4 linked regions of the Alligator mississippiensis genome follow. The protein of the gene in region 2 purifies or fractionates together with the protein of the main gene of each other region. This does not show direct contact. Links are inferred from orthologs where the notes say so. Each region holds a gene or a part of one and is shown on either strand. Other genes may lie near its edges. The genes, in order: HNRNPAB, DHX9, ILF2 and C1QBP.

Region 1 (7,538 bases), on a different chromosome or scaffold from region 2:
GTATATCCTTCAGGTGCTCTGTGATGATTAAGCCATTCCCATATTTAGGTATTCCATCAAAAGTATTGGCATAGAAGAATTGCTCAACACTAACTTCACTTAAAATCCAAGAGGATAACTGTGGAGTATCCCAAGCACTCATTACAAAAATATGACAAAGTTAACTGTTCCAAACTATTTTTCATCCACGTTGATGCCCAATACTTTTACAGTATTTTGTTACTTGCCACTTGAGAGTTTTCTAGTTTCCAAAGTAAAAAGGGTGGATCAATTAAATATTCCTAGTTAAATCTGGGGTAAGACCTAGCATCAGTAAAGGTGCAATCTATCAGCTGAAGGAAGATAGCAAGAGGGAAGTTAGGCTGACCTATAGGCAAAGCAGTGCCTAACCTGTGAGGACTAGAAGGCTTAAAAATGAAAATGATCACCTCCTGAACTTATTGCAAACACCCTCTGACCCCTGACAACTTGGTTCTGCACAGAGACAAGACCTTGCTCTAGAACTGGGCGAATGCCTTTGTATTGATGCTTTTGTCCAGTTACTAAATAAGAGTACGTTTTCATCTCCACTACAGTCACACTGTAATGAAGTCAGGGAATAATCAATCTGCAGTTCTAAAAAGACACCACTTACAAAGATCTTTCCTTAAAAAACCCCCACCTTTTTAAAGGCTCACTTCCCATGTATTGGAAACAGGGGGGAGGGGAGGGAAGTTTAGGCCCATCTAGCCACAAACACAAAATACTGGCAAAAAAGATAAAATTAGGAAGTGAAAAAAAGTTTAGCAACTGGGGGGAGAACAAACAAAACACCCAAACAAATCAGCCAAGGCAACCAGAATTTATTGATAAAGGATATCCAACTCCCTTGGCTCTTAATTTAAGAGAGCACATGATACAGCAGGTTCATGCACATCAGGTAAGAGAGCTACATCATCCATCTCAGGAATTTTTGATGCCACAAACAAGTAAAGTAAACAGTTCAAAAAAGATCTTAGGCTCTGTACATCTGTAAGGACTCCCAAATCAGTTTAAGGTGGGCCTTTGTTTAGAAGCAGCCCAGTGACTAGATACCAGTTCCTGAGTGCATTTTAGCTTAATTGAATTGCAGTAACCTGAATTTTCTGAGGTTAATTTAAGGCTTCCAATTCCACCTGGTAAAGCATATACATTTATGTTCCCTGCAATCTGCAAGGTAGATGCTCATCTTTTTAGATACAGCCTGCAATATGCATCTGGTAAAGAGAAATCCTTCCTTCCCTCCACCTAACCTAAAACATTATTCTTTCAAATACTGAGCAGTCATGACCAAATGCATTACAAGATCTGTCGAGTGCATTCTGCTGTTGTTGTTAAACAGTTTGTTTGTTACCCTGTCACTAATCCAGCCCTGAAGAACCAGATCAGGTTTTACCAAGCCAGGGACATGTTTACGCACTCTTTACCACAACAGCAGAATAATGGCCATTGGTTTCATTCTCCCCAGAACAGCTTTCACTCCCTGTACAAGAGAAGTTTTGCAAGGCTGCTCTGATCTGTCCTTTGCTAGTGCTTCCATAATCTTTGGGGGCTTTAAAAACCAAACAGCAAAATAGCCCTGTAGTGGAAGTCTTGAAACTCCCAGTTGTGAGGCTAGAACTTTGCTGTCCATAAAGTACTTTGCCTAGTAGGGATGGGGCTGCTACCAGCATACTGAGCTCGTTTCTCACCATGGCAGCATTTACTGCATGTTATTACAAATCTTTGTCTTGGAATTGGATATAGGAGTAGGAACTACCTGGCTTCACCCAACATTCAGGCCAATCATCTTCTGTACAGAAATATACTTAAACTCTAGACTTCCTAATACCTAGTCTAAAATCCTCTAGTACAGAAAGCCAAAAGGTCTCATTTTCCCCATTACAACTATTACTTCCTCTTGCATGGTCACTACTTTTGGTGGCAGGATATTGACATTATGAGAAAAGGCTTCCTGCCAGTGCCCTGGGGCCCTGCAGCTTAGCCTGCCACTACACTGTGATGCTCTCCAATCATTTTTAACCTTCACACTTGCAAGAGATTTAAAAAAAGGACTTCTCACACCCACATTTCCTGGCCCTCCCACCTCCCAGGAGAGAGAGAGCAAGTAGAGACCTAGCATAGCAGTTCCCACTCTGGTACCGGCACCACCCTCAGTACGCAGACAACCCGTCCAGGGTACATGTTAAATTTGGTATAGTTACTTTATGACAAAAATGACACGAAGGGCCAACTGAAAAAGATGTGCTGGTGGCACTTCAGGCTGCATCATTTCCTAGGCCGGAAGGGACCTCGGACCATCAACCAGGCCCAGCCCCTGCACCAAGCAGGACCCACAACTGTGGGGGGGGGTCATGTTTGAACACGGGTGCTGCGCCATCTGTCAGGCCAGGAACCACCGACCATCCCCCTCGCCCAGGCCCCCCCCCCGCCTCATTTCTGCCGACGTGCACCGCTGCATTAAAACGAAACGAAGCGTCTGCTGCACCCCCACCCTCGTCACGAAAACACCGCCCGCGGGGGCCTTTCCTGCCCGGCCCGCGGGGGGCCAGGCGAGCAGGACAAAGCCCCTCCACCCTGCTGCGGGTGACACCCCAGGCTCCCGGGGCCACGACCCCCACCCCCCGCGGGCGGCTCTGCCCTGCCCTGCCCTGCGCAGCGCCCGCCCCTCCCCCTCCGCGCTGCTCCGCTCCGCTCCCCTCCCCCGCCGCAGCCGCCACATGGCGCCAACAAAAGGCGGCCCCAGAACAAAGGAAGCGGCGGCCCCGCGCCCCCGCCGCCGCCTACCCCGCGTCCTCCTCGTTCTTGCTGGCGTTGATCTGGTCGCCCTCGGCCCCGTTCTGGCTGCCGGGCGCCGATGCCGCGGGCGCCGCCGCCGCCGTCGTCGTCGCTGCCCCCCCGCCGGCCTCGGCCTCGGCTTCGGCCTGCTGCTGCTGCTGCTGCTCCGCGCCGCCCTCGGCCGCCTCGTGCCCGTTCTGGGTGGCGCCCGCCGCCGCCGGCTGCTGCTGCTGCTCCGCCTCGGACATGCTGCCTCTCCGCGGCGGCGCCTGCAACACACAGCGCGGCTCAGCGTCGGCCCCTGCCTGCCTGCCTTCCCCTTCCCGGCCCGGCCCCGCGCTCACCTTAAAACCGCCCCAATAAAATCCGGGCCGGCCGGAATCGGATTAAAACCCCCGCGCGGCTGCGTGCGTGCTGCGCTCCCCCCGAGACACGTCTTCTCAGGGCCGCAGCCTCGACGCGTGGCCGCCTTTATAGAGCCGGAGAGCGAGCCACCCGCCAACAACAAGCTCGCTGGTTGGCTCCCTCTGGCTGTCGCTCAAGGGCCGGGCGGTGCCCATTGGTGGGTTCCAGGAGGGGCGGGGCTTGGCCTCATCCTTCTGCTTGGGGCTGGTGGGAGCCTTGCACCTCCTGGGGGTCGCTGCGCTGGGGCCGCCTTTTGTAGGGGTTTGAGTCAGTGGCTCTCCTTCCCATCTTTTATTTTTCACCTCTTCTTTCTTTTTTCACTTATAGAAAAATATTAAGGCCATTTTATTTATTTATTTTATTTTTGCAACGACTGCTCAGGAAGTTCTCCACTGGGCAGGATGGTTTTTTCACCCCTTCGGTTTCTCATTTGAAACCTCTGGGGTTGCCTTCCGAATCGCTGCAGCGTGCCCGGGAAGGCTCCCGGTCGAGCATCGCCACCCTCAGCGCTGCGCCTCGACGGCTGTGGCCGCCATCAAATGTTGACGTGTCTTTAGCTTTCGAGGAAAGGGAGCGTAGCGCGGGAGCCCCGAACCTGAGGGGTGTCACGGCGTTAAGACGGATGAGCGGTATAGCCTTCGCTACCTCTGGGTGCTTGCTTCAGTGCTTTATTTCCATATGAAAGGAAAGCATGGGGGGTGTTGTACACGTTTTGTAGTAACCGGAGTGATCAGGTCTGACTTTGGCCTTGTTTGAAGCTTAGCTTTGTCACCTCAGGTTTGTTGGGTTGTTTGTTTATTTTTTTCAACTTGAGTTTGCAGAGTAGCTAGAGTTGTGGAAACGGTTGCGTGTACCCTAAAGCTTTCGAGGCACTGGATCTCGAGTATAATTAAAAACGAAGAGAATCGGACTTCCTACCCGAGCTATGCTGTGACACAGTCCAGTGATGATGGGTTGATCTTTCATTGCTCGGTAGGGCCCTGGGCTGACTTCTTGGAGCGGAGTGGAGGCAACTGACATGTTACTTAAGCGCCAGCCTTGTAAATTCAGTCAAATGTGTAACTGTGTGTGAGCAGTCTTGTTGATTCAGACGTCTCTCATGGTGGAAAGCTTATTTTCATAGCGTTGTACTGGTTCAACTAAATAAGTGTAAAAGGCTATGCAGGTGTATTTATTTTTTGCTTAAACTGGTTTGTTTATTTTTCTAGACCTGCTAGTTTAGCAACTAGGAGACCTATATCTATATCTATATCTATATCTATATATATAGGAGACCTATATGTATCAGAATCCTATCCATCCATCTATCTATCCACCAGGAGATCTATAAAATACAGGTATAGATATAGATAGGTGGATAGTCTCCTGGTGAATAGATGGATAGGATTCTGATGTTATCACGTGTGTGTGGGAGTGAGAGCCTTGAACACGTGCCTGTGCCTCAGTCCAACCTGCCCAAGGGTGAATTTGAACCCATTGACATGCAGCCAAGTTTGAGGAGCCCAAAACAGCTCAGGTAATCATGAGCTTCTGCATAATCTGCTGTAGTTAGTATCTCATTCTGCCTTTTTCAGGGGGAGGAGCTTGGCTTTGGAGTAAACCTTCAGTGTATGTATCGCCACTTTCTTTTTTCCAACTGAGACTACTTGGCATAAGGATGGAAGTGACAACTGATTCCTGAGTTTCTTTGTAAATGTTGCTGAATGACAAAACCATTTGCCTCCTTGATGTTTTGAGATTTCTTTCTTGGTTCTCTTTAGGGTGCTGCACCTACTATTCTAATTTAGGATGATGTGTCTTCTTGTAGAGCAACCCAGCCTGCAATCCAGGCTACTCTAGGGCAGATCATCTTAAAAACATATTTTTACCCTCCACAAAATTAATTTGCAAAGGTGGTAATGCAGTAAAATCAAGAGGAAAAAATTAGATTGATTTTCTCCTCTTTGTAACAAGAAAAGAGCAAATGTTACAGAATAATTTTGTGGTCATGGTAAACAGAAAGTAAAATAGAATTGGTATGTGGAGTTTAAGGTTTCAGTCCAGTGCTTTTTGAAGTCAGTAAAGCAGTTATCTTTCCTGCTTGGTGCAGTGGGCTGGCCCGATGATCTTCCGAGGTCCCTTCCAGCCTTGCAATCTATGGAACAATATGAAACGATAAAGCCGTTCTATTGTTTGAGGCCCTGAACCAGACCTTTTAAGCAAACCTTTGTATGGTTATGAGGTCAGGTAAAAAAATAGGTGCTTCTTACGCAGCGGGAATTCACTATTTTGAGTGTGTTTTCTAGCCACTCAGTTGTCTTGCTGCTTGTAGTGACAGCTATTTTAAATAGTCCAAGCTGAAGTTTATGAGCTTGTGAAATGCACCCAACGGCTGTGGGAATTATAATACAATCTCTGTATATCGCTAAATCCTTAGACATAGTGTTTGTTTGTATTTTCTAATTCATTGGTTTTACATTTTCACTTGTCACAAATAGAGACTTCTTAGAACAATTTAAAACCTTCACAATACAAATAAATTTACACCCCTAGGAACAGGCTTGCCCCACTGGTGAATATTATGTTCTAGCCACACAGGATATTAATATATTCATATCCCACATTTTTTAGTTCATATCCAAATAGGTCTCACTTTTCACTTCACTACAAATTCTACAGCTGGCACCTTAAGGTTAAAATCTGAGACAATAGAGAGGCCTTGGACCATGCCCAAGCCAAGAAACTAAGGACTTGTAGAGACTCGGATGAAGAGTATATCCATAAACACCTGTTTATAAAAAACAGACCTAACTGCAAGGTGTGCAGCCGCATCTTGGCAGTCCTTGACTGCCTGTGGCAGGTAATGCAAATTAGAACAGCCTCCAGGATAACAGGGACTTGCAGAGTCCTTTTTGGGCCTGACATTTGCTACATCACAAACTCCACTGTCAGCATCACAGAGGACCTGAATCCATGTTATTTATTATTTGTAACCATCAGACCCCACTGAATAAGTTGTTGTAAACAGTCCTTCTGGGCTGTTGGAGCAATTTGATTTTTGGTCTTCGGCCTGTATTCAAAGGCTGTGGTTATTTCACAACAACCACACCCCCTCTCGTGTGTTGTTTCTTACATAACATATCTACTGTTTGGGGAAAAAAAAAGATCATGTTTTCATATGCCGATTGCCAGATCCTGCTAGTTTCATTATTATTATTATTATTGACACCAAGTTGAGTTTTATTTCTGTATGGATCTGGGAGGTCTTGGGCCCAGTTTCGGCACTCTTCTTTTGAGTAAGAGCTGATTGGTTGGTTGCTCCCACCCCTCCTCTACAGTCTTTTAATGCAAGTTTTGTTTGCAACCTTCTTCTCTTACCCACTTCTCCTCTTCTCTCCTCCAAATACCTGGGAACTAACATTCCCCTGCCCTGTTTCCCTTTCCTTTCTACTATTAACTAAACTTGCCCCCAAAAGCCTGGGAGCTAACTTGCCATTCACTGCCATCACAGTGTTCACTCTCTCTGGTGTAAATTATCCTTTTTCTCCCATTCTGTGTCTGTCTTGCCTATTTAGAAGCTCTTCAGGGCAATAACTGTGATTATTCATTGCTTTGGAACATGAGGCCCCATTCTTGGTAGACCTCCAGGCACAGCTGTAATAAATATGTTCAATAATATCACCAGTATGCAAGTTGTTCCATTAATTTACTAGGACTATTCATAGATGAAGCTTTACTCTAAATGGCAAAGTTGGCCTTCTATGATGCACAGATTTCAGATAAAGGAAGACAAGTGATAAAGTAGCAGTGATTGTATGACTTCTAATGCTAGCTTCTTTAGAAGTTATCCAATCATTGCTACTTTAGGTCTTTTCTTCCTTTAGCTGAAATCTGTTACTCAATATTCTAATTTTGAAATCAGTATTAACAGTGCCAAATATTCAGAGCACATTTCTAGAGGCACAGGTTTATCCACACCCAGTTTCCAGGCATGCAAGTTCCAAGGTTGATTGAGCACATGTAAACTATATCTGTCTCTTTACTTTGAATCCCCTTGCTTTGGCAAATTTAATTTGAAGGGGGATAATGAGTTACATTTACAAATATGTTGGAAGAGCTTCTTCCACACATGAGAGCAGCCCTGGAAAAAGGAGAAAAGTGTTCAAATAGCTGATGTGGGCAAGGGAACCAGGTATCCTGGGATTCATTGGAGGTGAGAATTAGCCTTTGGGAGCTAGATGGGAGATTGTAAGTAGGATAAAATTATACCAAGAAGGACCTTGAAATGGGACATGAGTAGCTTATGTCTGAGGTGATAAACAAGGAGCCTCTAGCTCAGGGGTGGGCAAAATGGGGCC
Region 2 (7,375 bases):
AGACGTTTACCAGGTGGATCCTCAGGTGGAGAGACAGTCCCACGGAGGAAGAATCCACTGATACCTGCAAGCAGGGTTGTCCCTGGAGGGGGGGGGCGCACAAATTGGGGAGATTGCCCCAGGCCCTGCACTTTGGAGGGCCCTGCAGACAGTGCCTGCTGCAGTTGCTGTGCACTGCCAGCTCCGCCATGGCAGCTGCACACCACCATCCCCCTGCTTCAGCTGCTGGCCACCCCCCACTCCCCCCCAACCTCCTACTTACCACCCCCCAGCCCCGCACACCCCTAGGGATGTCTCTGCCTACAAGGGAAAGAGAGAGAGAGAAACTGGAGGTGAGCTGACAGGCTTAGGGGGAGTGGGTTGCACTGTGGTGAAGGGAGAAGGAAGACTGCAGGCTGTGATAATGGCTGGGATTACCCAGATCCTGCTGGGAATTCACTAATAAACCAATTTACTTTTATGCTGCTTCTGAGGTGAATTACTATGCCCTCTTTTGCTGGGGAATTAACTTCTTATTTTCCCATTTACATCAAGGCATGGGAGGTGAGTTGCAGGGAGGGAGATTTTGTTAGTCAATCCCACCTGGCCACATAGTCTACGGCCGAATCTCTGAATCAGCATCGAATCTCTGAATCCGAATCACTGTCCCTCCGAATCAGCTGAATCTGAATTCAAGTGAATACTTGCTGCTTTGCACATGCCTATTGCCTACCCCTGCTCTAATGATTGAATATGCTGCCCTCTTCCTTTCTTCCAGTACATACTAGCCAAAGCAGCCATGGAGTTGCAGCAGGAATTGACCCAGGGGTTTCTATAAAGCAGTAGAGAGCACTACCACTAAGTTTTTTTGAGAATGTCATGTATTTTAAGGTTAAGGAGTTCCATTATACATACTGGACCTAATTCTCCACTGCCTTTTACCTTGCGTAGTTATGTATACTATGATAAAGCACTATGGTAAAGTTTAATGTAAAGTGCTATCCATCTCTGTGTACAAGAATTCTGGCAGCATTTTTCACATTTCCTTGACTTGGTCTTCTTTGGGTGTAAGTCTTGCTTTCTAATTGCAGAACACAAACTTAGAAGCCAAGGTAGAGTTAGATGGTTGACTAGACTTTTCCAAAGATGTATAAGAAATTTAAATAAGCTTTCTTTTCAGTCAGACATGGAAAGGGAGATGATCTCCCCATCAGCCAATGAGTATGTGCATCTGCACCGAGTTCTTGTGCTACCATTCCTTTGAGAGAGACTGCAGAGCGCCAGCCTTCCAGGGTTCTAGGTAGAAGTATGCCCATGTACACTCCCAGCCAGAGCTATTCTAGGAAAATTTCTAGAATGTTTTCCCCAAGGCTTTTATTTTGTTACTTTTAGGATTATTTCTAATGAGAATGAAATCTTGTTACTGCTGTTCTAATGATGTTTACAAAACAAGACACTTTTTAAATAATAGGTAATATAGAAATAACCTATCTAAATATGTGATCTTCAAATGAGTAACTTCTATTTGTTTTGATAATCAACAAAGCTACCAAATTATTAAACTGGGTTTCTTCATGAACTTTTTTGTGTAACATTTTGATTATATTTCTGTGGGTTCTGGGGATCATAAACACATTCTTAAAAATAGTTGCATCACTGTTTTCTTTCTGCTTTGGAAAAATGCCCTTTGTGAGGCAGTAGAGGGGCAGGTGCCACTCTACTGGGAATTGATTTCTTTCTTTTTTAAAGAAGTTAGTAATTGTTTTTACTTTTGTTGCAATTTGGGATGAAAACAAATGTTAAGATATTGAAACTTTTCCTGCCGGATTGAAATCCTAAATTGTGTTTACCTCTGCTTAATACATCCTAGTGGCTGGTGCTAGGGCTTGCCAACCCAAGCTGCCCTGGTTCTGTTTTTGCCCCTTCATCTTCAATTTTGACCAAAAAACCCTACACAAAACACAAAAGAATTGGTAATTTTATGCCTGAGCATCTAAAATCAATCCAACCAGAAATACAGTATGAGAGGCACAGCCAGGAATTGTATATCCAGGATACACTTTTATTTTTTTACCTAAAAATGGCAAAGAGTCAAAAGTAGTTTCCATTAATTGTTCCTTTTAGCATAGCAGCCTTCCTATCTATCTCTGTCTCTTCTTTAATAGCAAGGGTGTTACTATTGTTGTTTAGTTCTCTAAAATGCCTAGCTATCTAGATAAACTACTGTGTGTTCCTTGCATAGTGAGGCTAATATGGTTAGCCAGAATGGTTTGCATGTGCCATTGTGCTGGAAAACTAAAGTTAGCATTAGTATATTTAAGTTCTGTTCTCTCAAATGTTGGTTTTTTTGTGGTTATTTCCCCTTCTCTATATGGATCCTGGCCTTCCAGGTGCTGAGTTTCCTGGATTGGGATCAAATAAGCCCTTAAGCACATACTCCACTTTAAAATGAGATGGTCACTTCGACTAAAAAAGGACTATTCAGATACTTGAAGTTAACTATATACAGTATTACTTTGGATCCAGGTGTTGAGTGCTCAAGACTTTGCAGAATTGACTGAAAATTGACACTGGACTTTCACAGGACTTTTACTCTGTGCAAGAAAATGAGAAATCTAAGCTTAGGAAGCAAGTCCCAGCTTTTCTTATGTTCCCTGGTTTATAATAAAACCCAACTTTGTTCTGGGTATAATTCTGCTAACCACCCAATTGCATTACCTTAAACCACACCAACTTTTTATCTCAGCTTCGGGTAGCACAGTGGTGTCAAATACATCTGGTCTTTCAGGCCAAGCGATTGATGCACAACCAACCCACAGACTAGCTGAACTGCATGGGGATGGCCACACAGGCCAGATCAAGCCCACGGACCCTCCCCTACATGCCAGATCCTAGCACCCATGGTGCTCACTCCAGCCAGTCTGGGGCCTGGAAGGAAGAGGCCCAGCGACCTGCCATGGGAACAAGCTATGATACTGCTGGGACTCCAATGCCATGGGTCCTGCCCAGGCATTTGCGTGTTACCAGGAAAAGGTCTCCAGGCCAGATTTGGCTTGTGGGCTATAGTATGTTTGACACTCCTGGAGCAGCAGAAGGGTAAGGCGGCAATAGTAACTTATTCACAACTACTTTTCATACTTCTTCCGTTTCTAGTCCAGCTCCTAGTACAAGCTAGAGCAGCACTTTAACTTGTCCTGGCTAATGTGGTCTCTGCGTAGTAAGTCATGGCACAGCTTCTGTGCCCCCTAGTGCATTCCCCTGCACCTCTTCATCTGCCTGTAGTCTCAGTCCTGGCACTCCTAGACAGTATGATTACATACAGCTGTAACACTTGGTTTTGTTTTTGCATCATGTAAAAGTGACCAATGCCTATTTAACAGCTGAGCTGTCCCCTTTTTTGGCTACTTTGATGTACAAGGAAAACCTCAAGTTTTATTTTTTTAGATTTTAAATTCCTTAATTTTTTTTTTAATTTTACAAAATCAACAATGTACATCTGCTCTTCCTAGGCCTTGCTCCAACACTAGCTGGAAGCTCTCACAGTACAGTTATTGTGAGCCCTACCCCCTGTATGACAGATGCATGTTGAGTCTTTAGCAGAGGCTTACTTTATTTGCTTACTCATTGGAGTTAAAGCAGCAAGAGCTTTAAACAGGCTAATATAAAGACCCTTCACTCCCAGTGGTTTATCTCTGGCCCTTATGGAATCTGCATGACGCGAGTGCTCCTGTCCTCGCAGGGGCCTCCTGCATAGATAGGTGAGCTGGCCATCTATCTGCCCAGGAAGAAAGATGCAGCCAGGAGGACCCCTGGTGACTGGGGGGGCCATCTTTCTGTCCCTCATCCATGCACATCTCCAGGCAGTTTCACCAGCTCCTTGGATTCGTTGGAGAGCCAGTGGGTGCTGGGTGGTGCATGCTGCTCCGTGTCCCCCCACAGAGCACTCGCTGTTAGTCTATGACCCTCGCTCTTGTCTGTTTGCTTTAGTTGTCCCAAGGACTCTGCTGGCGAACGCTTACTAGCACCCTCCAAAAACAGGGTAAGCGTTTCTGTGCTGACTAGTGCGTGGTGGACCCGGCGCTAGCTGCGAGTCACGCAGGCCCCCGGCCGCTGGGGGCGCTGCCCCGCCCCGCCCCTCGGGCCGGCTCCACCACTCTGCTCAGTGCGCATGCGTCCAGCGGGCGCCATTTTGCGGGGGTCGGTGGGCCGCGCGTCTCACCTGTGACAGCGGCCGGGCTGGGAAATAACGACGCAGGTCAGCGGCTGCAAAGCGTAGCTCCGGGCGGAATGGGGCGGTGCTAGTGCGCAGTCGCCGCCGGGCTCCGTCCCACCTGGAAGCTGCCTTTGCGAGGGCTGGGAGGGGCGCGCTGCTGTGGCAGCTGCTAACTGTCGCGTGTGCCCGCAGGGCGGCCCCGCCATGGGGGACGTGAAGAACTTCCTGTACGCCTGGTGTGGCAAGAGGAAGGTGACGCCGGCCTACGAGATCCGCGCCGCTGGCAACAAGAACCGGCAGAAGTTCCAGTGCGAGGTGCGGCGGGGCGGGGCGTCGTGCGGCGGCTGCTGCTGCTGCTGCTGCTGCTCCCGCGCGCTGTGGGGGCGGGGCTTTGAGGGGAGAGTGGGGCCTGGGTGTGGGCGGGGCTGCCGCGGGGCAGGTAGCCGGGCTCCCGGGGAAGTGCAGGGGCTGTGTGAGGAAAGACGCACCCGTGGTGGTGTAGGCCGGGCATTGGAGCGCAGTCCCACAGACAAGTTCAGTGGCGTACCGAGGGTCTCTGGCACCTGGGGCCCCATGCTTACATTTGCGCCCCCACCTCCGTCGCAGAACGGGAGGGAGGGGTCCCCTAGCAGCCTATGGCAGAGCCCACACCCACCCGCCCACCCCCTGTGCCGGAAGCAAGCCCCCCAATAAAAGATATCGTGCACACACACACAACCTGTACCACAAGCAAGCCCCCCCCCCCCCGCCCCAAAGATATCACACAGCCCTGTACTGGAAGCAAGCCCCCCCCAGTAAAAGATAATCACACACACATACAGCTGTACTGGAAGCAACACCCCCCCCCAATAAAAGATATCACACACACACCCCTGTACGGAAGCAAGCCCCCCCCCAAAAGATATCATGCACACACACAGCTGTCTGCCCTCTCCCTGGAGCTGTCCACGGCTCAGTTTCACTCCCCCTCCGAGCCCCCTTTACACTTATGTGCATGGAGCTGCTGCTTGGCTGTCCCGAGCAGCCCTGCAGATGCAGAGGGCCAAGCTGGACTGGACCCGGTGGGGAGCACGGTCACCACACCATGTCTCTGCAGGCAGGCAGTGGCCCTGTGGGGGAGTAGTTCAGACACAGAGAGGAGCCAACTTGAATTTTGGGGGTTTCTAACCCCCAAGGCCCTCCCAGTGCCATGGCCCACAGAGGTGCAATGTGGCAGGGTGCTCCTGGCCTGGCTGGCCTGGTTCCAACTGCCCAGCCCACCCCGCTCCAGGTAAGGCGTGACTCGCCCAGCCCAGCCCTCTCCCTACCAGACAGCGCCACTCAGCCCACAGATGTAGCACAGCTTTTTAGGCAAGACCCCAGTCCTGCCTCCTCTCCTCCAGCCCTATTGGTGGAGGAGGAGCCCTGCTTCCGTCTCACAGGGAAGCAAACGTGAAAACCGCAGTTTTAAACTTGGTGCCAGATATGGGCACTGAGTTTAAACTGTGGCTTTCGCTTCCCTGCTGGTGAGGATCCCAGGACTCCGAATTGGAATGGGCCCCTGGGCACGTGTGCCCAGTTTGCCCGTGCATTAATCTGCCTATGACCTGGCCAGCACCACCCCACCAGGCCTGTGCCCAGGGGCCATGGCCTCCCCCTTGGTGCATCACCTGAGCGCAGGGGACAGCTGAGGTGAAAACAGGGATGGGAAAGAGGCCTCAGGTTTAAAAGTGCTCCAAGGGGTAGACCCTGAGCAGAGCATGCCAGGCAGTGCCCACTGGCCCCTGAATAAATCCAGGGAACCAGTGGATGCTGCCTGGTGATACTCTGCCTCGAGACAGGAAAGTACAAGGGCATGGGAAGTGGCTCCACAGTTCCTGAGGACCCTTCTGGCCAGAGCCCCCTTCCTGGTGAGGTATACTGTCAGTTTGGCCAGGGCCAGAAGAAGGTTGTCCAGAAGGTTCTGGGACTAGGTAGGGCCATGGATGGGGAGTGCGTAAATAAACAGGTGAGGGGAGAAGTGCAGCCAGAACCTCAGTAAGACATTCTGGAGGAGGCAGTACAAGGGCTGTAGCTCCATCTCACCCAGCTCGCGGAAGGGCCTGTGGGAAATAGGCCTATTTGTCACCCTTTAAAACGTGAGCCCAGCCCACCAAGTCTCTCATTGGCTTCCCTTAGGCAGGGAAGCTACAGGAAAAACGGACAGCATATTTCTTGGAGCAAATAATGAAAAAACAGAGAAGGAAGTGCCACTCAGTTTCAAAACAAACATGCCGAGTGGGGACACTGAACAGAGCACACCAAACAGCACCCACTGGCCCTCAAATGAGTCCAAGGAGCCAGCAGGCACTGCCTGCTGATACTTTGCTTGGAGACAGGAGTAAAGCAGGGCAAGGAAAGCAGTCCCCAGGGACCCTCCCAGCCAGAGCCGCATTCCTTGTCAGATACACAGCCAGCTCGGCCAGGGCTAGGAGGAGGTTGACCAGGAGGTTCTGGGACTTGGTAGGGCCATGGACAGGGAGCACTTAAATAAACAGGTGAGGGAAGAAGTGCAGCTAGAACCTCAGCAAGAGGTTCTGGAGGAGGCAGTACAGGGGCTACAGCCATGTCTCTTCCTGCTCACAGAAGGGCCTGTGGGAAATGGGAGACTGGGCAAGACAGACCTATGATTTGACCCAGTAAAGGGCAGTGCTTATGTATGTGTGCGGCCATATATATGTAATGAAAGAAGCAGTCACCAGTGAGGTCTAGTATGTGTCAGATGTACGAGAGGATTTGGTGACCCTGTTGTTTTGCTGGGAAGTGGGTAAAGATAAGCTGTTCTTTCCTTTGTGTGGTGTGAAGCGTTGTACCAGCCTCATAGATTCATAGATGTTAGGGTTGGAAGGGACCTCAATAGATCATCGAGTCCGACCCCCTGCATAGGCAGGAAAGAGTGCTGGGTCTAGATGACCCCAGCTAGATGCATATCCAACCTCCTCTTGAAGACTCCCAGGGTAGGGGAGAGCACCACCTCCCTTGGGAGCCCGTTCCAGACCTTGGCCACTCTAACTGTGAAGAAGTTCTTCCTAATGTCCAGTCTAAATCTGCTCTCTGCTAGCTTGTGGCCATTATTTCTTGTAACCCCCGGGGGCGCCTTGGTGAATAAAACCTCACCAATTCCCTTCTGTGCCCCCGTGATGAACTTATAGGCAGCCACAAGGT
Region 3 (7,173 bases), on a different chromosome or scaffold from region 2:
GCTGCAGCAGGGCCGGTCCGTGCGGCGTGGCCTGCCCTGCCCTGCCTGCCCGCCCTGTGGCTGCCACGTCCTGTTTTGAGGACTCTGTTTCCTTCTCCCACTGCCAAGATCCTGCCGTGATTTATGGGCTGGGCGGGCGCTCGCCCTTCCCTCCACCATGGCTTCCACAGGGCCCAGTGGAAACCCAGGGGCGCGAGGCTCCGTGGCCATGGAGCTGCCCCAGCTTTGCAGCTGTTTATGGGGCTCTCAGCTGTGGGGGGTGGACAGGGAGGGGGTGCCCAGGGTGGGGCAATGGAGGGTCCCAGTGACAGCAGCTAGTGAGAGGACCCTGGGGGGTCAACCCCGAGAAGACCCCGGGGACCCATCATGGCTCTGTGCTTCCCCCCAGGGCTCCGGGTGGCTCCATCATGCTTCCCACTTCATGTCAGGGCTGGGACCCTCTGCCAGGACACCCGAGACATGCCAGGGGTAATGGAGACTGGAGGGGACTTGGCACCAATTTTGCTTGTGCAACAGGGCTCTGCCATGGCATGTCTGTTTGTGTGCACTGTTGTGCGTGCATGCACACACGTGCGTGCGCACGCATGCACGCACACACACACACACACACACACACTCTTGTACCACATTAGGGCTCGATCCAAAGCCCAGGGACATCGGGGGAAACGTTCCAAGGGCTGGCCAACAACTCAGGATTGGGTCCGGGGGGGAAAGGAGGAGCCATGGGGGTGCCCAGCCCTGGGTGCACCCCCGTCTGGCTGTGCCTGGCCCCCCCACCTCAGCTGGGACTGGGGGGCTGACCCCTTCCCTGAGGATGCCCCCTTCTCCAATCCTCAGGCTGCTCCCTTCCCCGATCCTGGAGGCTGGGGGAGCTGCTGGGAGCTCCCGCCCTGGAGGGATGGGAACGGGGAAGGGGGATGCACTTGCCCCCTGACCCATGTGGGGCTTTGCTTCTTCCCGAGCCCCCCAGGAGCAAGGCAGAAGTACGGTCTCCCCAACCCTGGTCACGGCAGATGTGTCCCCTTCTCACCTGTACCCTGACCCCTACTGCCAGCCTGGCCTGGGGCGCTGGGGCAAACCTTCACTGCGCAGAGTGGGCCTGGGGCCTGTGGGGCACATGGGGCAGGGGTTGGGGGCACTCACTCCGTGTCTTGCTCTTGATCTCCTGCACAAGGAAGGTGTAGTTGGCCTTGTCCTGGTCCTTGAAGGGGATGTCGAGCACGGTGAGGTTGTGGAAGCTGGGCAGCTGCACGTAGATGCCCTCGATGGCAAAGTAGCAGGGCCGGTCATCCAGCTTGTCGTCCCAGTACACCAGCATGGCGTGGCGTGTCCAGTTGAAGTGGCGCTGCAGGGCCACAGCGAAGGCGCCCAGCTTGCGGTGGCTGGGGCCAGCCCGTGTGGTCAGTGCATAGACGTCTGCCTTGTCGTCGAAGCCGTGCGCCTCGGCGCCCGCCGTCACCAGGGGCAGGCGCCAGTGCCGTGTGAAGCGGGCCACAGGCGCTGAGGCGTAGATGCAGCCGGGCCCCAGGAAGGCGCTGGGATTTGTGGCCCACTTGAGGTCCACGGCGGCCAGTGGTGCGGCCGAGTCGGAGCACACGCCGTGCTCGTCCTCGCTGCTGCCGAACACCCATTGCAGCCGGTGCCGCGGCAGCAGGTCGGGGCGCTGGTTCACCCGCTCCATGGCCAGCTGAATGGCCGGGCCGACCCGGGGCCAGGCCCACGGGTAGCTCAGGTTGCGGTGTGGCAGCACCACGGCCATGGTCAGGTTGGCGTCGTGGCCTCGCGCCCCACCCACTGCGCTCAGCAGCGCGCCCAGCAGTGCCACGAGTGCCCGCCGCATGGCGTCGCTGCCGTCCCCACGCCTGCCCTAGGCCTGTGGCATCGCGCCCCCGCGCCCTGCCACGGCCCCGCCACCCGGCGCTGCTTCTCGGTGCCGCGCCAGCGAGCGACTGATTATCTCCCGGGCAGGCAGTGCTTTTCCTTCCCCTCATTCAACGACAAAAGGGCTGTTATCATCGCACGGCTCCTTAACCCCTTGCTGCCTGCAGCTGCCGGCCTGCCCCGCCCCCGTGCCCGCAGGGGGAGGCAGGAAGAGATGCCCCCCGAGGGGCAAATCTATCATCTTAATGGGGTGGGGGGGGGTACAAAGGGGGGCGATGCAGGCTGTATGCATTACCCCCCCAGGGCATTCTGCCATAATTAGAGGAGAGGAGGGTGGGGGGTAGTGGGGGCTATGGGACAGTGGGTGCCTTTGGCCCCCCAGGCTGGGGGAGGGGATGGGGCAGGCTGGGGGAGCCCTGGGGTTGCATGGGAGGGAATCTGTTCCCCCCTTTCATCCTGGCAGCTAGGAGGCAGCTGGGGGGCCGGGGTGGAGCGGGAGCAGTGGGCTCATTCTGCACATGGTTGGGGGTTCCCAGGTGTATCCCACTTGACCCCCCCTGAGCCCCTTGGGACCTCGGTACCCACCATGGCCCACACTGGCAGTGCCTGCCCCAGCCGGGGCGGGGGGGGGACGAGGGGAGGGGAAAGGGTTTGATCCAGCTGGAAAAACACCGATGGGTGAAAAACACCAAGCATGCAGCACCCGCCCCCGCAACCACACTGGACCTGATCCCAGCAGCTGGGGGCCTGATCCTGCCCTATCCTGGAACAGCCCCCGGGCCCCAAGATGTTCCCCCGTCCAGTGTTGCCAGGCTCTATGCCACTCCACCAAGTGCCAGCTGCCTGAGTCAGGGGATGACAGGTGGCCCCCAGCCCTCTCCCTTGCTCTGCTCAGGGTGGACCCCAGCGGCCTGGGCCAAGGATCGGGCCCCACTGGGGGGGTGCCATGAGCAGCCGGTCATGCACTCACCCCTGACAGCCCAGATCCTGCCCTGCCGGCTGACCCCAGGCAAGCTTCTTGGGGGACATGTTTGCACCCTTGACCTGGGCACATCCTGCCAGCCCGCTTTCCCGCAGGGGAGCTGCTGGGTCACGCCCCCTGGCAGCTGGGATAAGTGGAGGTGCTTTTGCAGCTTCATTAGTGCAGGACATGGGATTGCCACAATCGGGCATTCCCGTGACCGGGGCACTAATGGGGCCCATTACCCAGGTAAAGAGCAGGGCAGGTAGGTGGGGGCCCTGACACATGGGGAGGGGGTCCCTGCCACCCGCTGCCTCTTTGGGGCAGGGTCCTGAGACCCCTGCCCACCCTTTCTCTGGGCAGACAGGGCAGTCATGAGAAACAAGTCAGGGAGGGCATTGCCCCCAGGAGAGCAGGGGCCTGGGCACCATGACCTGGGGGGCAGAGCTGGGGGGCTACAAGGGTGGCAAGGCCCAGGCAGGGCCTCCCGGAGCCCAGGGGCATGGAGCAGGCCTAGCCCTGGGGCAGCAGCACCCCCAGGAATGGGGGTACCAGGGATGGCAGGGCAGGCCCTGGGACAGTGGGTTGTTTCTGCCCCCTCCCTGGTATGGGAGAGCACGTGCTCCCTGGATGTGCCCCCCCCAGGTGTGGGGAGGCCCCTCAGGCTGCATAGGACAGCAGGAAAAAGCAGGCAGGCGGTACTAATGAAAAGCAGCTAATTAATTAATTACCCAGCTTTTTAATTAACCCAAAAGGAGCAAAAAAGAAACAACTAGCAGAGGATGGTTTCGATCCATCGACCTCTGGGTTATGGGCCCAGCACGCTTCCGCTGCGCCACTCTGCTGCTTGAATTCAGAGCTCTGATGACTCCATATAAGGCTACCTCCAGCCACTCACGCATGCGCAGCGAAGACGCCCATGAGCTGCCACCCAGCACCCATTCTACGCACGTCCCGCGCCACCTTGCGGCCCCGCTCGCGCCCTGCAAGACGCATGCGCAGTAGCACGGGCCCGCTCGCCAACGGCCGCCTTCTTGTTCCCGCCCCCCGGGCCTGTAACTGGCCCAGCGCTCCCTCTCCGATTGGCTCGTTTGAGATAGATGGGGAAGCAACCCAGTAGCCAAACAGCGAGCGAAAATACCAGCCCGCGGTTGGCTGTGCGAGAACCAATCGCCGGGCCGCTTGTTGCGGAGTGGACAGCGCTGGCCGGCGGCTTCTTCTCGGCGGCGGCGGCGGCGGGTTCCATTGTTCGGGGGTAGCGGGCGCCATGAGGTGAGCGGCGGCTAGGGAGGCCCGGGGGGGTCGGGATGTGGGGAGGGGCTGAGGACCCCGCAGGCGGGGCGGGGAAGGAGGACGGGGTGCCCTACAGGGGTTGCAGTCGAGGGGGTGAGTGCGGGGGATGCAAGGGAGGGCTGAAGGGGGGTGGGGGCGCCTCGCGGGGAGGATGAAGGGGGTAGAGGGCTTGGCCGTAGGGGCAGGGGCTCGGGGCCTTGCTCAGCTGTGACTCACTGCCTCTTCTCTCTCCCAGGGGTGATCGAGGTCGCGGCCGTGGCGGGCGCTTCGGGTCCAGGGGCCCTGGCAGCGGGTGAGCGCCGTCTCTGTTAGAGGGTGCTGGTGGGAGCGCTGCCTCCCTAGCCTGGGACCCCACTTTGAGGGGCTGCCAAGGGGGCCCTGCAGGGCCAACAGCCTCTAGCTTGTTCCTGCCCTAAACCTCTGTGAGAAGCGAAGCTTCCTAGACCTTCAGTGCTGGAGGCTGCATGCGAGAGAGCAGCGGTAAAAACGCTGGTCAGATGCAGCTCGCTCTCCCTTCCAGCTCCGCTCTCTGCCCCTCTGACGGGAGGCTGCGCAGCTTGGACCTGGCCTGTGGTCTGACCCAGTCAAAGGCAGTTCTGATTTTTCTCCAGCCTAGGTTCCTAGGGAGAGGGATGCGTCTAGTCACCCATTTTAAAGCTTCTCAAAAGTTTGTCCAGGCAGGGGGGGGGGGAATATTCTTGTCCTTTGCATATAATGAGAACTCACCTCCATTTTCTCCCACTTTTTCCTTTTAGATTCAGGCCCTTCGTGCCACACATTCCCTTTGACTTCTATGTGGTAAGTAACCTCTCGCAGTGCTTGGTGCCGGCTGTATAAAACAGCAGCAGGGTTGTAGTGGAAATAACACTTTGTTGAAGTAAAAAAAGTTGCTTGTTTCTTTTAAGAAAGGGAATGTAATAGCAGAACATCCTGTGGGGCCATAGGAAATAGTGAGTTTCAAAACCAAAAATGTACGTCTGATTCTTGGCCTGCTCAAGTGAGCGGGAGGCAAGTAGGTCTTTGAGGCAGTGTCCATGCAGCGTTTGACAGAGGGTTGAAGACGTGTAGTATGGAAAGCCTTGGTGTTTATCACTAACATGCATCACAACCTATCCCACTGTTAAAGAGTGGAACAGGAAATGAAAATCCTCTCCCAGATCTGCAGCTAGTAGCCCAAAGTGTGCATTACCTTAGCCAGGTTCCCAGAGCAGTAGAGTCTGGCCTTCCTCCAGGTCTTGGTTTCTGTGTGGCCTAAACAGGAATGACTTTCTTCTCTGTCTTCTTATAGAGGAGGAAGAGGAGGAGCTCATTTCCTTCCTTCATTGAGCCTGTCTGGTGTAGGGACACACAGGTGTGGCTTTCTCAGGGAAAATGGGTTAACCATTTCCTTGCCTTACAAGGCCAGGATCTTTGTTCCCATTGCAACAATTCAAGCGGTTTGAGTAACTACAGGGTCTCATTAGGAAATTCGGTATGTCATCTAATAGGTCTCAGATGCTTTACTGCCTTTTAGTACTCAGCTGGATCCATCATTAGAGATATACCTTTTAAGTCCTACCTCTCTATGTCATTTTGTTGCTTGTAAACTAAAAAAGCTTCTGTGCAGAGCATGCATAAATGCCTTGCTGCAGGTTCTGGTAACTAAGGTGCAGTTTTCAGAGACCTGCTCCTGATGCTGGAGCCTCGGTAAAGATGTGGGTAGGAAGGGAAGTTCTTTTTACTCCACTGAACCTAGTAGAAATAGAATGTGCAGCCTGGTTGCCGTGTCCAAAAGGCTGTAAGCAAGAAAATGTATTTGGAAGCTACTAGGGAAAGTGGAGAGGAAAACTAGGATAAGCTTGTTTTCTTCTTAAGTGCTGCACCAAAGATCTTGTATCACTGTGGAGCTGCTGCTTTAACGTTTGCTCCTGTTGCAGTGTGAGATGGCCTTCCCTCGCGTGAAGCCTGCAGCTGATGAGACGGCATTCAGTGAAGCCTTGCTGAAGAGAAACCAGGATCTGGCTCCAACTGCAGCCGAGCAGGTTAATAAAGCTTGCTTCCCATGTGCTTCCTATGGAAAACTTTCCTGAACTCAGACTGGTGCTAGGTTACTCTTAATTCAGTGTAGACTCTTTTGTAACAAACACCAGAAATGATCTTCCTGCAAAGGGAGACCTAGCTTTGCATGTCTCTCGACTTGACCAAGGGACAGAACCATGGCTGGGTGCTAATTCCAGCCTGCTGTAGGATGGAAAAGGGCTATGTTGCTTGGAAAGTGGTTTTAAATCTGTTTTTCCTGACTTGTCTGTTCCTCTGCATGTCTCAGGATTATCCAAATCCCATAATTTCCCAGCCTTTGAGACAAAGGCATGCATTTGTATCTCAGCTTTAGTTGAAACGGTCACTTGCTGCTGCCATCACCGCGTGCTCTCTTATTTTTCAGGCATCCATCCTGTCTCTGGTGACTAAAATAAACAACGTGATTGACAACTTGATAGTGGCGCCAGGAACTTTTGAAGTGGTGAGTCAGTCTTGTCTGCCGAGATGTGCCAGGTCTGCAGGGTTGGTGCAGCTCTTCGGAGGCTGCCTTAGTCTGGTTGGGTGTCTCCTTGTCCTGATGAGGCAGATCAGTTTTACAGCGTTGGTTTCTTTGCTCCTGCCCTTAGAGGCTCCCTCTCGAGGGAGGCTGTGAAGTTGAGTTGTGTGCTCTTGGCTTGTATTAACTTTTTTGGCTTGTTCTCTTGAAATAGCAAATTGAAGAAGTCCGCCAGGTGGGATCCTACAAGAAGGGCACCATGACGACAGGGCACAATGTAGCTGATTTGGTGGTGATCCTGAAAATCCTGCCTACCTGTAAGTGTCCTCTGCTCCTGATCGGGTGCGGCAGTCAGAACCACTCCAATGTCTCACTTCATTTTTTTTCTCTTTCCGTCTCTAGTGGAAGCAGTTGCTGCCTTGGGAAACAAAGTGGTGGAAAGTCTAAGAGCCCAGGATCCTACTGAAGGTTGGACCCTTTGCTGTGGGCAGTGGGGATGGAGATGAGTAGAACAAGTAGTGGA
Region 4 (7,354 bases), on a different chromosome or scaffold from region 2:
GAAGAGCAGTGCATCTGATTGGAACTGCTGGAGAGATTTTTAGATAGGATGGGACGGCCAAAGCTAGGAACCAAGCCGGCATTGTTCTCTTGAAAAAAGGATCGTGATCTTTAAAGATCATAAGTGGTTGGGGACTCTGCTTTACCCAAGGCTGTCTCCAGAATGCTTCGGGAAGAAGTGGATTGTTTTATCTCCTGCTTGCTCTCTTTCAGGAGTGGTGCAAAGAGAACTTTGTGAATGGCCGGAATATGCTGCTAGTATCAGATGTCAGAGCTCAGCTCAGGGACATATGTGTAAAGGTAATTCTTTGCAATATGACTTTTCTTCCATTGTTGGCTTTGTATCTTTTCTGCCCCCAAATGGTTTCTCTGTCCCAGATGCCAGCAGAGGGAAATGCATTCATAACTTCAATTCCAAGTCTAAGTGCTGATGAGCTTGGAACTGACTCAGTCTCATAAAGAAGTCAGCTTGGCCTTGTCCTGGGCGGCAGATCTGTGGGCATGTCTTAAAGGTAGTTAGCCTGAGCTAGCCTAAATGATATTGAGCCATCCTTAATGCAAATCCTTGTCTATGCCAGATCCATGTAGTTATGTCCAGAATGATTCTGATCTAGCCTGTGTGCTGTGAGGGGTTTCTAGTGAGATATTCTATGGTCCTAAGCAGAGCACTGAAGTGGCTTGCTTTAATGAGCTAATCTGTGGGATGTGTGCGCCGGCCAGTTTGCTGTCTTGTAGCATGAGGCCTGTCTCAGTAATATGAGAACAGCACTTTATGTGGATAACTTCCAAGTGGAGTTGTTCACTGTTTGGGTGGACAGTTGTGAAGATGAAAGCACATGATGTGACACTGAGAACTTTTAATTAGGCTGTCATTAAGTGTGCACTACTGAGTGGCTCAGAGCTTGCCTGCCTGACTGCACAGCTTCTCATCTCTGTGCATATGGTGCAGGAGTGCCGCAGAAACGGAGCAGGCAACTGTGGATTTCCAGCACTGAGCCAAGATAGTTGAATTCTGGTGTAGAAGGGAGGTGATGGACAAGAAATTACAGCTCAGCTGGAACTGTGGGATAGTAATGGAGGATTAACAGCACCTGGGCTAGATCTGATCTGCATTTTCATGGCTGGGTAGGCAGCTTGTCAGGTGGGGCTGGAGGAAAACCTGACCCTATGTCCTCAACTGCACATGTTGGTGTAGGCTTAATGCACACCGCCAGGTAAGACTAGAGGTTCTTCAGTATAGTGGGACTGGGGATTATACCTGGGCTATAGCTTGGCCCATCTCCACAGGGGAAGACATCGGCAGTGTTGGAGTTTGCATTCCTGTTCCTTTTTGAGCCCGTGGCCTTGCAGAAGCCCATCCTGGCTTACATGGCAGCCCAACTCTAGGTTGGTGTAGGGAGCCTGTATGTAGGGTGCTATGTTATCTCTCTCTCTCTTGTTCCTGACCAGCTCTCCATGCCCATCGAGTCCTCCCGGTCGGATACGGGGAACATCCGCCGCTGCCTAGCTCACAGCCTCTTTATGAACGCTGCAGAGCTACAGCCAGATGGCACCTATGTCACTGCAGACACCCACCAGCTGGTGGCCATCCACCCATCCTCTGTCCTTTTCCACTGCAAGCCAGCCTGTGTCCTTTACAATGAACTGCTTCACACCAACAAATGCTACATGCGGGACCTGTGTGTGGTGGATGCAGACTGGCTGTATGACGCTGCACCAGATTATTTCCACAGGAAGCTAAGAACAGCCAAGAACTGACCAGTACTTGGTGATGTTGGACAATCTGCCTGGGATTTTTAGGGTCACAATCAGATGTTTTTTGTAATGAACAAACAGAAGCAAGAGAGCTTTGCTTTGGCAATCAGGTACAACCTTACAGAAAAACAGCTTCTTCCTGAAAGCTGGACCTCGCGAATCTCTGCTGGCTTAGAACAATCATCCTTGGTTACAAGGAATTATGTAAGGGCGAACGTAATGTATGCAGTATGTGTGTGAATCTATATATATATATATATGTATATAGTTGGGCAGAGTAAGGGGCATCAGATTCCAATTTTTAAGATGAGCTCAAGTTTTACTGGGGTACGTATAAAGAAATGAGATCCCAAAAACTCTACTGAGCAGATTTGAGTTTGGTTTTTTACAGTTGCCCTTGTATCCTTTGCAAGTTTTATTGGGGGAAAAAAAATTAAATCGTTCTTCTTTCTCTGTATAGATATAGGTATATGTAGAGAAAATGCCTTTTTAAATGTATGTTTTTAGGAGGGGAGGTGCTAATGTCTTTTACCTCATCAGACATCTCTGCCTAATGTCGGTCTCTCCGCCTTATTTTGAGGCATCCAAGGGCCAGTAAAGGGTTCCCTGAATTGACATTCATTGCCTGTGCCTGTCTGAGACATAAACCGTCTGGGCTCGATAGTCATGCAGTGCCCAAGAGCGGTTGTCAGCAACCTGTTAGAGCTGTTTTTACTCCTGAACATTATTTCTCAGAATATTTTGTGTGTGTGTAGAGATTAGACTGCCAGTGTCTGCATTTTGCCAATCGTGTTTGGCCAGTCGTCTTTGCCAGGAGAGGTGTCTCTTGACCCGACAGCCAGGCGTCAAAGCAGACCCCCAGGCCCTGTTCCAGACTAAGCCCAGCATGTTAGCACTAAAACCCCCCTCTAACTATGGTGCATGCACACACACCAAGCTCTATGTTTTGCTAACCTCAAGCACTATCTGATCTATTGCTTTAGCTAATCAGGCTATTTGGTAGCAACTTTCACAAAAAGACTATGAAGATGTCTGCTGGAGTCAGACTTCCATTGAGAACCCTTTAATCATCAAACACTTATTACTTCCATTAGGGCTTTACACCAGCATTTCTCTGCTTTTTCTTCCCCCCTTAATTTATATTTTGCCTTGCCTTATATTTTTTTTCTGGCATGGCAACATTTGTCATGTCCTAGGCAGTCTTTGCTGCTTACCCCGTTGGAGCGTCTAGCCATCAGTTTCTTCACTGGAGGAAAACATTGCAATAAGATCCAATCTTATTTTTTAATCCTGTGTTTTATACTAGAACTAAGAAAGGCTGGACCAGTCTCATTGCTCGACTCTAGAGCTTTCCCCTCGGGAACGAGCACAATGCGCTGCTCCATGTGACAGAGCAGGGGCGGATAAAAATGTAGAAGTTATTTTTGAACAATATCCGTGCGAGTACTTCTACCGGGACCTCTCCGAGAGAGGCAGCTTTTCAATTTCAACAGAAGTCTGTTGGTAGTTTTAGGCCGAGGTGAATTAAAACAGATTAGATTTCGAAAAGGGCGGGAGAGGGACCAGTTTTGTAAACGCAGTGTCACTGTGGAATAAAACGTGCTTAGTTTAATGCGAGTGGTGGTGGTATCTTGCTTTCTAAGTGATGCGGCGTTTAGTCCCCTCTTGCGTTCTTAAACATCCAACTTAAAAGAAAAAAGTGTGTGGCGGGGGTGGCTTACATTTTAATGGGGATCATATTTGCAAACCAGTTTTGACACCGTTAATTAACCGTGGGAACAACAAGCTGCTGCCTGCTGTGCGCGCAGGGGGGATGAGCTGTGCTTCCCATTTAAAACGTCTTTTCTGGGCACGAGCTTTGGCTACGTCTCGCTTGTCCTGGAGCAGCTTTGTTCTGCTCGGTCCGCAAAAACTATGAGCAATCCTTCTGTAAAACCTGGACTTTGTTCCAACTAATCTGCAAATCGCTGGCGGCGAGGGGCAGCGTTGGCGTAAACCGGCGCGCTCCAGGTACGCGGCGTGTCCCGAGCGACCCCGGAGTCGCAGCACGCGTCCGTCTCTTCCCAGGCGCAAAGGGTGACACTTCGTGTTACGGGTGCCTGTCGAAACGTAGGCGCTCGTCTCGCTGACCCTGCCTCTTTCTCCGTATTGTCCACGGCTGGCGAAGGCGCTGAGGGCGCATTTTGGCCGTGGCCGGCTGCACCCCGGGGGCCTCCGGGCAGCGGTGGGAGCGGGGAGTTGCAGAGCTCTGCCCCCGGCGTCGTACAGAAACGTGACGCCTGTCAAATAAAAGCACATGTCGTTGGGGCGGTCTCTCAACGACGTTTGGGGTTATTTAGAAACGACTAGTTGCACAACTGCCCGTTTCCCGTCACGCAGCGCCTGCAGAGCGTCGGCTCGTGCCGGGGTATCTGCGCGCGCAGCTCGAACAGGCGGCCCCACGGGCGGGAGGCGGAAGGGGCGGGGCAGGAAGCGCGCTTCCGGCTGGCGGCATCGGCTTCCGGGGCAGAGGTCAGGCCGGCCGCACTCCCTCTCGCACGTGTCGCTGCCTTTCTTCTCTAGCTTCGCGCCAGACGCCATGCTGCTAGCCCAAGCGCTCCGCTCCGCCGCCGCCGGCGCCCTCCGCTCGCCGCGCGCCCTGCTGCGCCCGGCCGCGCGCCTCCCGCGGGGCCCGCCTGCTGCCGCCGCCGCCGCCGCGCGCCCCTTCACGCGCTCCCTCTGGCTGCTCTGCGGCGAGGCCGGCGGCCCGCGGCCCTCCGCGCTCCTGCGGCCCCCGCCCGGCCTGTCCTTTGGCTGCGGCGGTCTCCACACCGAGGGTGAGCCTCCGGCCTGAGTGACCTTGGCCCTGGGCCTGCACTGCTGCAGGGCAGCGGGTCCCGCCTGGGGCCTTTCCGCACCCTGCTCAGGGCGGGCAGCCTCTGAGTCCTTCACCCCGCCTGGCAGCGCCGGCGAAGGGTGACGCAGAAATCTTCCCCTTCTTTTACCTGGGGGTCGGTGGGAAAGCCAGGGGTGGAGCTCGGGTCCAGGAAGCAAAATGTCTCCTGTCCCAAATGACCTCTTCTGTTCCTCGCAAGGGGACAAAGTGTTTTCCGAGTTCCTGATGGATGAGATCAAACAAGAAAAGAAGATCCAGAAGCACAAATCCCTGCCCGAGATGTCCGGAGGGTGGGAGCTGGAAGTGCAGGGCACCGAGGCCAAACTGCTGCGGAACGTATCTGGCGAGAAGTAAGTGATGCGGATCTGTGCGTTTCATGTTATTTGATGTTAGCAAACTGGAAACAAAACAAAAAAAAAAGCCCTGTATATAAAGCTGGGTGCGCACATGTGCTTAAGAGGCATGCGCATGTTAATGAAGAACTAAGTGCTGCTTCCCAGTGTCCCCCGGGGTTATGTATTTCTTGTAACCTAGTTGCGTTCCCCTCCTCAGCCCCGTCCCTGGTTGAGGCGCTCTGTATTTCCTTTATGGCTTTTGTCACGTTTGTTTCACAACCAAGGAGAAAACAAAAATGGCCAAGGAGAAATGCTAGATGTTTCATACTCATTACTTTTCTTGGAAAAGGGAGCTTGTCACGGAGAATTTTGCCCTGTTTCCTATCCCGTGTATTCCAAAACTTCATGCCACCATTTCACACAAGAAGAAAAACTAGAGAATTCAACCTACGAAACTGAAAATATCCTTGTTAGTCAATATAGGGCACTTACGGAGTTTAAACTTGGTGCAGATGGCTGTATTTTAAAACACATAAACTGGGGAGCAGTGCGCTGTATGAGGTACAGGGGAGATTCAGGGGGATGCTTAATACACTTCAAATCCTGTTCGCATCTTGAGTTCAGCACTTGAAACTTTGAGTAGGGTTACAGTTAATGTGGGTTGTACAACTAACTCTTCCTATTGTGATGTTAAAGGATTTCAGTCACGTTCAACATTAACAACAGCATCCCACCAGTGATTGATGAAGAGCCCCAAGAAGGACAGAAAGCTGATGAACAGGAGGTAAACCTACAGCCTATGTGTTCCCTTTCAGTTAGTACACTGTAGGGTAGAGGGGAAGTCAGGCCATTGCCCAGTTGTGTTTGGGCAGACACTGTTAACTTGGTCTTCAGAACACAAAGGTGCTTAATGCTGGCATAATGCAGATTGTTGTTACTTTTATTTTTTCCCATTACTACAGTAGCAAAAGCCCGGCCTACAGTAGCAAAAGCTTTTGGCCACTTGGCATAATCTCTGCCAGGGCAGGAGGAATTTTTTATAGTTGCAAGTGAAGGTAGTTGATCTTATAGCTGCCTTCCCTTCCTGCTGTAATGAAGGCCAGGTCTGTGCAAGGAGCTCCTTGCTACTGTGCTATAGAGCAAAGAGAGCCTGGTGTGGTGCCCCCACCCTGTCCATGAGTCGTATCAGGGAGAGCTCAGTGCTATGAGCTGCGTTTACGCTACAGCTGTGTACTGGTCTGGCTGTAGTAGTCAGGGATCACGTCTCTTCACATGTCTGGCTGATACCAATGGCACTAAGAACTTGCAGTGCACACAAAAACTTAAATGGCTTGATCCTTGATCTTTTTATAAGGTCACTGACTTCCAACAGTTAGTTACAAGGGAGAGCAGAGTCAGTATATGGTATTGGTAGTTGTTTAAATCACCAGTGTGGTTTGGGGCAACCAACTCGCTAATCCCTGAGCACTTCATAGTAGTTAGGGGTCAGAAGGGACCTGACTAGATCATTTAGTCTGACCCCCCGCCACTGGTAGGAGCACGCACTGGGATCACACCACCCCAGACAGGTGTTCATCCAACCTCTTTTTGAATTTACCCAAGGTAGGAGCGAGGACCACTTCCCTAGGAAGCTGGTTCCAGAACCTAGCCACCCTAACAGTGAAATAGTGCCTCCTAATTTCTAACCTGAACCTATTCTCCAGCAGCTTCTGGCCATTGTTCCTTGTTGCCCCAGGTGCTGCTGGGGGAAATAGGGCCCTTCCTATTTGCTGCTGATCTCCCCTAACGTGTTTGTAGGCAGCCACCAAATCCCCCCTCAGCCTCCCATTTGCTGAGGCTGAACAGGTTCAGGCCCCTCAGCCTCTCCTCATAGGGCCTGCCCTGTTGCCCTCCAACCAAGCAGGTGGCCTTCCTCTGAACTCTCTTGAGGCAGGCCACATCCTTCTTAAAGTGCGGTGCCCAGAACTGGACACAGTACTCCAATTGAGGCCGGACCAATGTCACGTAGAGGGGGAGTATCACCTCTCTGGACTGGTTTGAGATGCATCTTCAGATGCACAACAAGGTGTGGTTGGCTTTGCTGGCTGCGGTCTGGCATTGGTGGCTCATGTTCATCTTGGAGTCAGTAATGACTCCAAGATCCCTTTCTGCCTCTGTGCTTTCAAGGGGGGAGCTCCCCAGCCTGTATGTATGCTGTGGGTTCCTTCTCCCCAGGTGCAGCACCCTGCACTTACCCACATTGAAGCCCATCCTGTTACCATCCACCCACTTCTGTAGTCTGTCTATATCTAGTTGCAGCCTCTCTCTCCCTTTGAGCGTGCCTACCTCTCCCCACATCTTGGTGTCATTGGCAAACTTGGACAACGTGTTTTCCACCCCCTCGTCCAAGT

What was found.
Region 1: the proteins of DHX9 (region 2) and HNRNPAB purify together in Homo sapiens (affinity purification with mass spectrometry; 3 studies listed by BioGRID and IntAct, with this or other methods). This does not show direct contact. The link is inferred for Alligator mississippiensis from reciprocal best matches to the Homo sapiens genes DHX9 and HNRNPAB.
Region 3: the proteins of DHX9 (region 2) and ILF2 fractionate together in Homo sapiens (co-fractionation; 5 studies listed by BioGRID and IntAct, with this or other methods). This does not show direct contact. The link is inferred for Alligator mississippiensis from reciprocal best matches to the Homo sapiens genes DHX9 and ILF2.
Region 4: the proteins of DHX9 (region 2) and C1QBP purify together in Homo sapiens (affinity purification with mass spectrometry; 3 studies listed by BioGRID and IntAct, with this or other methods). This does not show direct contact. The link is inferred for Alligator mississippiensis from reciprocal best matches to the Homo sapiens genes DHX9 and C1QBP.

Annotation. Positions count from the first base shown.
Region 1 is NC_081832.1:73,224,725-73,232,262, reverse strand, and holds the start of HNRNPAB (heterogeneous nuclear ribonucleoprotein A/B), read right to left. Parts: upstream 3,239-7,538; 5' UTR 3,141-3,238; intron 3,066-3,140; 5' UTR 3,045-3,065; coding exon 2,806-3,044; intron 1-2,805. UniProt on the Homo sapiens protein: Binds single-stranded RNA. Has a high affinity for G-rich and U-rich regions of hnRNA. Also binds to APOB mRNA transcripts around the RNA editing site.
Region 2 is NC_081828.1:53,696,190-53,703,564, forward strand, and holds the start of DHX9 (ATP-dependent RNA helicase A), read left to right. Parts: upstream 1-4,154; 5' UTR 4,155-4,234; exon of another isoform or gene 4,235-4,384; 5' UTR 4,385-4,396; coding exon 4,397-4,507; intron 4,508-7,375. UniProt on the Homo sapiens protein: Multifunctional ATP-dependent nucleic acid helicase that unwinds DNA and RNA in a 3' to 5' direction and that plays important roles in many processes, such as DNA replication, transcriptional activation, post-transcriptional RNA regulation, mRNA translation and RNA-mediated gene silencing.
Region 3 is NC_081838.1:13,197,978-13,205,150, forward strand, and holds the start of ILF2 (interleukin enhancer-binding factor 2), read left to right. Parts: upstream 1-4,021; 5' UTR 4,022-4,109; coding exon 4,110-4,114; intron 4,115-4,370; coding exon 4,371-4,427; intron 4,428-4,890; coding exon 4,891-4,933; intron 4,934-6,051; coding exon 6,052-6,156; intron 6,157-6,557; coding exon 6,558-6,635; intron 6,636-6,864; coding exon 6,865-6,967; intron 6,968-7,052; coding exon 7,053-7,118; intron 7,119-7,173. Other genes in the region: NPR1 (atrial natriuretic peptide receptor 1), read right to left, coding at 1,144-1,840. UniProt on the Homo sapiens protein: Chromatin-interacting protein that forms a stable heterodimer with interleukin enhancer-binding factor 3/ILF3 and plays a role in several biological processes including transcription, innate immunity or cell growth.
Region 4 is NC_081837.1:15,043,813-15,051,166, forward strand, and holds the start of C1QBP (complement component 1 Q subcomponent-binding protein, mitochondrial), read left to right. Parts: upstream 1-4,283; 5' UTR 4,284-4,332; coding exon 4,333-4,570; intron 4,571-4,828; coding exon 4,829-4,979; intron 4,980-5,660; coding exon 5,661-5,748; intron 5,749-7,354. Other genes in the region: ATP-dependent RNA helicase DHX33, read left to right, coding at 213-299, 1,449-1,757.